Linked DNA regions of Drosophila melanogaster. The protein of the gene in region 2 binds, or shares a complex with, the protein of the main gene of each other region. Each region holds a gene or a part of one and is shown on either strand. Other genes may lie near its edges.

What was found.
Region 1: brm (region 2) and osa share a complex: the UniProt entries of both Drosophila melanogaster proteins name them as parts of the brahma complex.

The regions. Positions count from the first base shown.
Region 1 is NT_033777.3:17,716,564-17,720,318, forward strand, and holds the start of osa (osa), read right to left. Parts: upstream 1,788-3,755; 5' UTR 1,393-1,787; intron 372-1,392; 5' UTR 204-371; coding exon 1-203. Other genes in the region: Pxt (Peroxinectin-like), read left to right, coding at 3,008-3,173, 3,468-3,755. UniProt on the Drosophila melanogaster protein: Trithorax group (trxG) protein required for embryonic segmentation, development of the notum and wing margin, and photoreceptor differentiation. Required for the activation of genes such as Antp, Ubx and Eve.
Region 2 is NT_037436.4:15,981,270-15,985,024, forward strand, and holds the start of brm (brahma), read right to left. Parts: upstream 1,601-3,755; 5' UTR 1,534-1,600; exon of another isoform or gene 1,300-1,533; 5' UTR 1,240-1,299; coding exon 999-1,239; intron 943-998; coding exon of another isoform or gene 931-942; coding exon 854-930; intron 620-853; exon of another isoform or gene 199-619; coding exon of another isoform or gene 1-198. Other genes in the region: CG17027 (uncharacterized protein), read left to right, coding at 1-198; Arl1 (ADP ribosylation factor-like 1), read left to right, coding at 2,008-2,011, 2,109-2,325, 2,594-2,915; PolD1 (DNA polymerase delta subunit 1), read right to left, coding at 3,117-3,755. UniProt on the Drosophila melanogaster protein: Transcriptional regulator. Acts as a coactivator, assisting one or more dedicated transcriptional activators of ANTC and BXC homeotic gene clusters. Can counteract the repressive effect of Polycomb protein.

The DNA of each region.
Region 1 (3,755 bases), on a different chromosome or scaffold from region 2:
GGATGTGGGGCAACATTTTGTTGTTGCTGCTGGATGCTGGGATCGCTACCGTTGTTGCTGTTGTTGTTGGGTGTGGGCGGGCCCGAGGTTGGCGGTGTAGCGGCACCAGGAGCCGCTCCAGCCGATGGGGGCGTGGCAGCAGGGGCGGGAGCGCCACCTTGCTGCTGCTGCTGTGTTTGCGGCGACTTTATTTTCTCATTCATGGCTGCTCATCGGCTTCTGGCTGCGCTGCTCCCGATCTCCCAGATTTTCCGGATCGGATTTTCCCAGATGTGTGGCGGCTACTGATGGAACACCGGTAACCACCAACAACAACAACGCTGACGCTGATGATGACGACGACTGCAGCGGCGAGTTTGAGGTTATGTTAGCTGCAAGTTATCAAAAACGGGGGATTAGCATTTGGCAAAGGGGGTCTGGCTTATTAAAGGGGGCAGTCCTATATCACTGGGCCTAAATCGAGCGGGTTAAACATAAATAATTTGTACTCGTTCGTGGGCTGTTGTGTATTGAAAAGTCCGCTACTAACACACGCACACACATGCTCACTCGAACAGGCAGCACCAATACCACAACAATTTATTTTCCGCCGCGTACGGTGGGCAAATCGTAGTGCGTTGACAACCCTGCCGCAACCGCTCTCGCAGTTTGAGCGCATCCACTCTCGTTGGCGCTCTCGCTCTCTCTTTTCACATTTGGCGGCTATACACGCACACGCCGTATCCCTTTCCGTCTCACTTGCACTTGCTCGCCATCCAGGCTGAAGGCATATGGCGCTCTCGCTCGCTCGCTCACTCTCTCCCTTGCTCGCTTTATTAGTTTCTGTGTGAAACGAATGAAACGGGCAGCACAGTAATGATTTTTTCGTAATTATTTTCTATGCCGATTTTTCGCGTTTACACAGCACTGGAATGGAATGGACGAGGGGGCATCATCTCACAATTGTTTAACTTATTTTCTTTTCGTGAGTGGGAGAGAGAGGGGGGCTAACGCTTAAGATTTATAAATAATTGCCGCGCCTGCTTGGCCGCGTTTGTTGCGCGTTCACTTTTGGCCGCTGCCGTTGTCTTGAGAGGCTCTCTTTTTTTGTTCGGCTGCTTGCGTTTTCCTGCGGTTTTTCGCCAAGTGTTTATGAAGATGATGATGATGCAAGGATTCGACATCCAATCATTTGCATATGTATACACACACGCACTCACTCGCACACACACTCACACAGCCTCCAAAGTGCATCGTCGAGAGGAGAGAAACTGAATTTTTCACTCGCCCTCGGGCGAAAGTCCGGCGGCAGATTTGTTGTTGGGCCAAGAAGACTCAATATATATTTTGCGGGGCGCTTTGGTTTTTGGGGCTTTTCTTAACCAGAAATCTACATACACGCACACCACTTACACATAGAAGAATATTCACGCATTGACGACCGTCCACAGACTGGCTATATATACTAAAAACGAACTCGCGTGAGAAGACAGGGACAGGGCAGCAAACTCGGTATACGAACGGAACGAAATGAAACGATTCAAGTAGTAGTGTATGCAAGTCTTGTCTGTCTGCGCCTGGCGTTCTTTTCTCTTCTTTTTTTCGATGGTTTTTCGCCAGGCTGGGCGCTGCCAAAACGCTGATACGGCGGCCACAATCACACGCGGCTAATCGCCAGTTGGGCCCTGCACAGGCTGCACATACTTTTCACTATTAATGCGCTGTATTTCACTTATTTTTCGAACAAATTCGCAGCATGACGAAGAAGCGAGCCTGTACAAGATTAGAGCGGGTAGCACGCACGATAGTATCGATACGTACGAGTATTTGGCACTGCGATACATTATCGGTGCTCGTTTCGATAGCCCCCGATAGCTCTAGCACGAAATTTTATCGCTTTATCCATATTTTATACTATTTTTATTTATTGGACTTCAATGAATATTTATTTTACGTTCTGGTTCGCTTTTTAAATATATATGGTAATCAATAGCTGGCGAATTAGCGATATTTGAGTGTGACGCAAAAATGAGTTGGCATCGATATCGATTTCTCGCTACTCTGGGACGCCATCTTTATTGCGGTATTTTAAACGGAAACTTAACTCAAATTAAACGGCGTGCTAAAATTTTCCATTTTTTTCGAATAAAAGCACGTAAAAGTTTGTGAAGATGTAAAAGTTATAAAAACTAGAAAGCCTTATTCGTGGCCAGCGCTTTCGTTTTAGAAATACGTCAATTTAAAGTTTTTAAGGTAAATTGCAAAATTGCAATAATTGCAATAATATAATAATAATAAAATTTTGGTAAGTTATAAGAGAGTAAATACAATTTTGAAAGTTTATACCCCCGTTAACAAACCACTTGAATTTAGAGTGGCAGAACTATGCAACTACAGCGAGTTTAAACATCGATATATTCGTGATTTTTGGTTTGCTTATTATCGATTCCATACAAAACTACCGGCATAAGCAATTTTAAAATAGACGTAAACAACATCAACGTAATTAATCCACAAAAACAAATTCTTTTATTAATTTTAATTGATGCAATACATTTTAATTTTTGTGAAACTCTAAATATCAATAGTCGCCCTATGCATTGATCATTGTCACAAACATTGTTAAAATTTATTAAATTTATTTTGGTAGAACACTAGGTTTTCGATTTACTGGCTTCCGGATTTTTACTCATAGGTTTTAAAAATATTTTTTGCCAAGGATATCAACTAAAAAAATATTTGTTTATTTTTTTATAATATTAATGAAATTCTATATTGAACATTTTTATTTTTTGAACTGCTTGCACAATTTGCTAATAAGAGAAGTTGCGCTTAACAGTAAAATGTTACTGACATTAACAGCACACGTACGAGAATTACAGTACACTGCTTTCGACTTGCTGTGATATCGAGCATTCCTGGTATCGAGTGCAAAATGGCGGCATTTTAAGTTCAATTTAACACGATTAGGTTGAGCTTGTCGATTCTTTTTTAAGTATAAGCCAACAAATGTTTCATTAAACGCATAATGAGTCGCATTTTATTTATTTTGTTGCTACTTATTGTGACGCAACTGAGCGAGTTGCAGGCGGCAGCATTTTCTGTGCGCCAAAATCGTTTTGATGAAGTTCCTGATTTGCAGACTCCTGCACCTCTGGCCACTTCCACTGAATCTTCTAAGAAACCCGAAAAAGGTTGGTTACATATGTACGTTTAGTGATATAAATTGAATATCTCGGCAATTTCAAAATGGCGTAAAGGGTGAAAGTGTTCTTGTCCGCTCTCTGTGAATATAAGTTACGGTTAATCGCTCTACACTGAAAACAACTGCATAAAAAACTTTCATATTTACATAATTAACAAAATCAAATTTTTGTAAAATTAAATACAATATAATATAAAAGTATAATTGTTTCTTCAATTTTAAAATTATATTTTTATGGTTATTTTTATTTCGTAAATTGTACAAATTTGGTCTTTCTGTGTAGCTACCAGTGGTCTGCTGAAAAAATGCCTTCCCTGCAGCGATGGTATAAGATGCGTGCCCCAAATCCAGTGTCCCGCCCACGTTCGCATGGAAAGCCATGAAAAGCCCCAAATTTGCGATCTCCCGGCTGGAAAATTCGGCTACTGCTGCGAGACTGGACAGAATCACACTGCTCCCAAGCCGGAGACCTCTCCCAAGGAGCGTCGATCCGGATTTCCCACCATTCTGTCACCCGCAGTTTTGGATGAGGCGCGTCGCAATTTCGAGCACTTGATGCATGGAGTTGCGC
Region 2 (3,755 bases):
CCCTGGGATTGTGCCGCCGGCTCCCTGTTGGTTAAGGAGGCGGGAGGCGTGGTAACACATCCCTTTGGCGGACCATTCGACATAATGAAGCCGGATCTAATCTGCGCCGGCACAGAGAAGTTGCGCAAGGAGATCGAAGACCTTCTGCGTAAGGGAGACCAGGAGGAGTCCGTGGGAGGGAAGCCGGTGCAGAAGTAATTTAGGCAAGGCAACAACGATCTTAATTGAAAAGCTTGGGGTCAGCTGCACTGCCAATTGGCGCTCGAAGCTCTGCTAATGGGGAGCTTTCGGATATATTCCAGCTTTAATCGCCGGCAGCTGTTCCACGATACACGTCAAAAAGGCGGGAAAGCCCGTCAATCTTGAGACTTTGAAAAACAACACCGTATGATACCATAATTTTAAGCATTTAGCTGGCAAACAACTTAATATACAGATTACCTACTTGGAAATTTAGTATTTCTATACTTATTCACAAAGTTTCACGAATTTCGTATTGTTTATACCTTTTTCATATAGCATCCCTCAGAAAAATGTTAGTCTAACATGGAATTTAGATATTTATGTACCCATATCTGTATATAGAGTAAAGTAAATAAAGAAATTTAAAGAAATCCTTAATCTACCGTTTAGAATACTATGTAGATTTTATAGGATCTTTTACAAACGTATTAAGTATTTTAAAAACTTGCTAATTACTGATTATAAAAATTTTGAAAGTATCGATGGAAATATTTTCAATGTTTGCACTGAGCTACTGTTTGTCCAGATGGCATAGATTTGATTTGAGAACTGAGACATCTAAGTAGGCTTACTATTTTGATTCCTACGGCTAGACTTGGGGGTCACTTACATTGGGTGGCATTCCGTGGGTTTGGTAGGGGGACATGTTCGGTCCCGTCGGCGGCATCTGCATTCCCATGTGCGGACCTTTTGAGAAAACTACGGATAATTACGTGTGACTGGAGCGATTGGTGTTGGGTTGTTTAAGAACATACTCATCCCCTGGTGGTGCGGTGGCATATGATGCCCGGGTGGACCCTGGCCGGGTGGTCCGTGCTGCATGGGATGTCCGTAGGCACCGGGATGTCCGGGTGGCGGAGGTCCTTGCAGTGGACCCGGCTGCTGGTGCGGATACGGGCTGTGCGGCGAGGGGGCGGGACTCTGCGAGGGCGGGGCCATCGGACTGGGCGCCTGTGGCGGTGGCATGGGACTGTTCGCCGGAGAGGGCGAGGCCATATTGCAGCTCCTTTCTTGACTTTATCCAATAGCGATATCCAGCAACTGGTGCAGCCTAATCTGCAGATGGAACACACGTCAATGCACTGTATTTACCAACATTAAAGAAGCTATAGCCACGATATGTAATCGTAGCTACCGTTTTGTGTGCCTCTTTTGGCACACTTTTTCGCGCAGCCCGGTGCAAACCCAAAATAACGGCTAAAGATACGCCAAATCGGCCGAAATCAACTGCACGCTAATCGCACGCGAAGAACGCAATCGGATTGCTCCATTTGGCACCGAAAGTATTACCTATTAGCACTGTTTTCAGAAGGTTTTCTTCTCTTTTCACAACGCGACGCGACGGCAAAACTCTAATGGCGGCCGTCTCTATAACAAAAGTCACGCAAGGGTGGCAACTCTGTGAACCGGCAATAAAGGTGGGCGCGTTCAGCACAAGTCACTGTGAATATTTTTATAATTAATCTGTATGCACTCCTTAAAATGGTATTTATTTAAATTTAATTAATGATATTAAACGTTTTTTTAAAGTTATTAAAATGTTATTTTTTACAAAAATATATTCGTGCTGAACGCACGCTGTGACACGTCATGTTCGCGTGACCTGCGAATGGCAAAAACGAAACCATTCTCCAGCCCAAAAAAAAGTGAAAACAAGACTTCTGCGATTTTGTATTAATTGTAGCACCACATACAATTAACTAGGTTTACTAAACTTAAGCATTTAGAGGCAGCGCCAGCACTAGACAAAGTTCAGCCGTAATCATGGGTTTGTACAGCACGGAGCATGGACGTGGGGAACCTCCCCGTTCCGGCGACACCCGGTGACGAAGTCTGGTCATAAAAATCATACGTTCTTCTTCCAGGTGGGGTGCTCAGCTACTTTCGCGGACTGCTCGGCTCCCGGGAGATGCGCATCTTGATCCTGGGCCTGGACGGCGCCGGCAAGACCACGATCCTCTACAGACTGCAGGTGGGCGAGGTGGTCACCACGATACCCACCATCGGCTTCAACGTGGAGCAGGTCACCTACAAGAACCTCAAGTTCCAGGTCTGGGATTTGGGCGGACAGACAAGTATTAGGTGAGTTGGTTACACGAGAGCAGTATTGTGATGGCATTACCCAAGTCTTATTTAATATCTAGAAGACATATTTTCGGTTGTAGTTTAGTAAGCCTTTTGGGTTTCCAAAAAGCCATTATAATTGTAGCTGATAAGATAGGAAACATCTGCATCCACAACTTAACTTAAAATAGCTAATAGTTCTTTCTTTAGGCAGGCTACGTACATATATCTATTTGGCCTTTAAGAATGGTAATCCTAATCTCAATTCGTGCTATTTCCATTATAGACCTTATTGGCGTTGCTACTACAGCAACACGGACGCAATCATCTATGTGGTGGACTCGGCGGACCGGGACCGCATTGGCATCTCCAAGGACGAGCTGCTGTACATGCTGCGTGAGGAGGAGCTGGCCGGCGCGATACTGGTCGTCCTGGCGAACAAGCAGGACATGGACGGATGCATGACCGTCGCCGAGGTCCATCATGCGTTAGGACTGGAGAACCTAAAGAACCGCACATTTCAAATATTCAAAACGTCGGCCACCAAGGGCGAGGGACTCGACCAGGCCATGGACTGGCTGTCCAACACCCTGCAGAGTCGCAAGTAGATACTTAGCCAGTCCTCAGACCCCCAGATCCCTGTGTAAAAAATGTGTGTCCAAAGCATCGCCAGCTAGGGAACGTCAACAGCTTTTTTCAAATTGCAGATTGCGCAAAAAATCCACGAACCGAAAGAAACTTTGTAATAACTTCTAGTAATATAATTATTAAATTATAGGATTAAACAATTCATTAAACTCATGCAATGGTTACCACTCGGCCAGGCCGAATCGCAACACCCGCTTCTCCTGATTGTCCAGATCCATGCGAACCTTCTGTCGCATGTAGAAGATGGGACAATCTCTGTTGGAGCAGATGACCTCCTCGTGCAAGGATTCCTGGCATCGCTGGCACTCGGTCCATAGGCGAGAGAAGGTCTCCTCCAGTTCCCTCTTCGCACCCACCTCCTTCTGATACAGCTCACTCATTCGTGGCTCGCAGTGTGGACACAGACAGGCCTGTTCGTAGCCCTTGGGCATCAGGGATTTACAGCCCAAACACGACGTTTTCTTGGTCATAAATCCAGCAAGTCCACCCACTTTGGATGTTACCACAGTTCGTGTGCGCGTGTGTTCTCCTTTTAACAAAATTGACTCGGCATTGTCGCCCAAAATAGGTTCAAAGATCCTTAGCAGCGGCTTAGACAGCTGCTGTTCCAGGTAGTAAGTGGCATCGATGGGCACGCTGTTTTCCAGCACATACAGCGGATCCTCGGCCTTCTGGTAAGCGGGTGTGTTTTTGGCTGCCGCACAGATCACATAGGGAACTCGATCCCCCAGTTTGGGCGCCGTACCGGGATCTCTTTTCTTCATCTTGGCGGCCAGCTCAACGTGTGCCTGTTTGGCTGC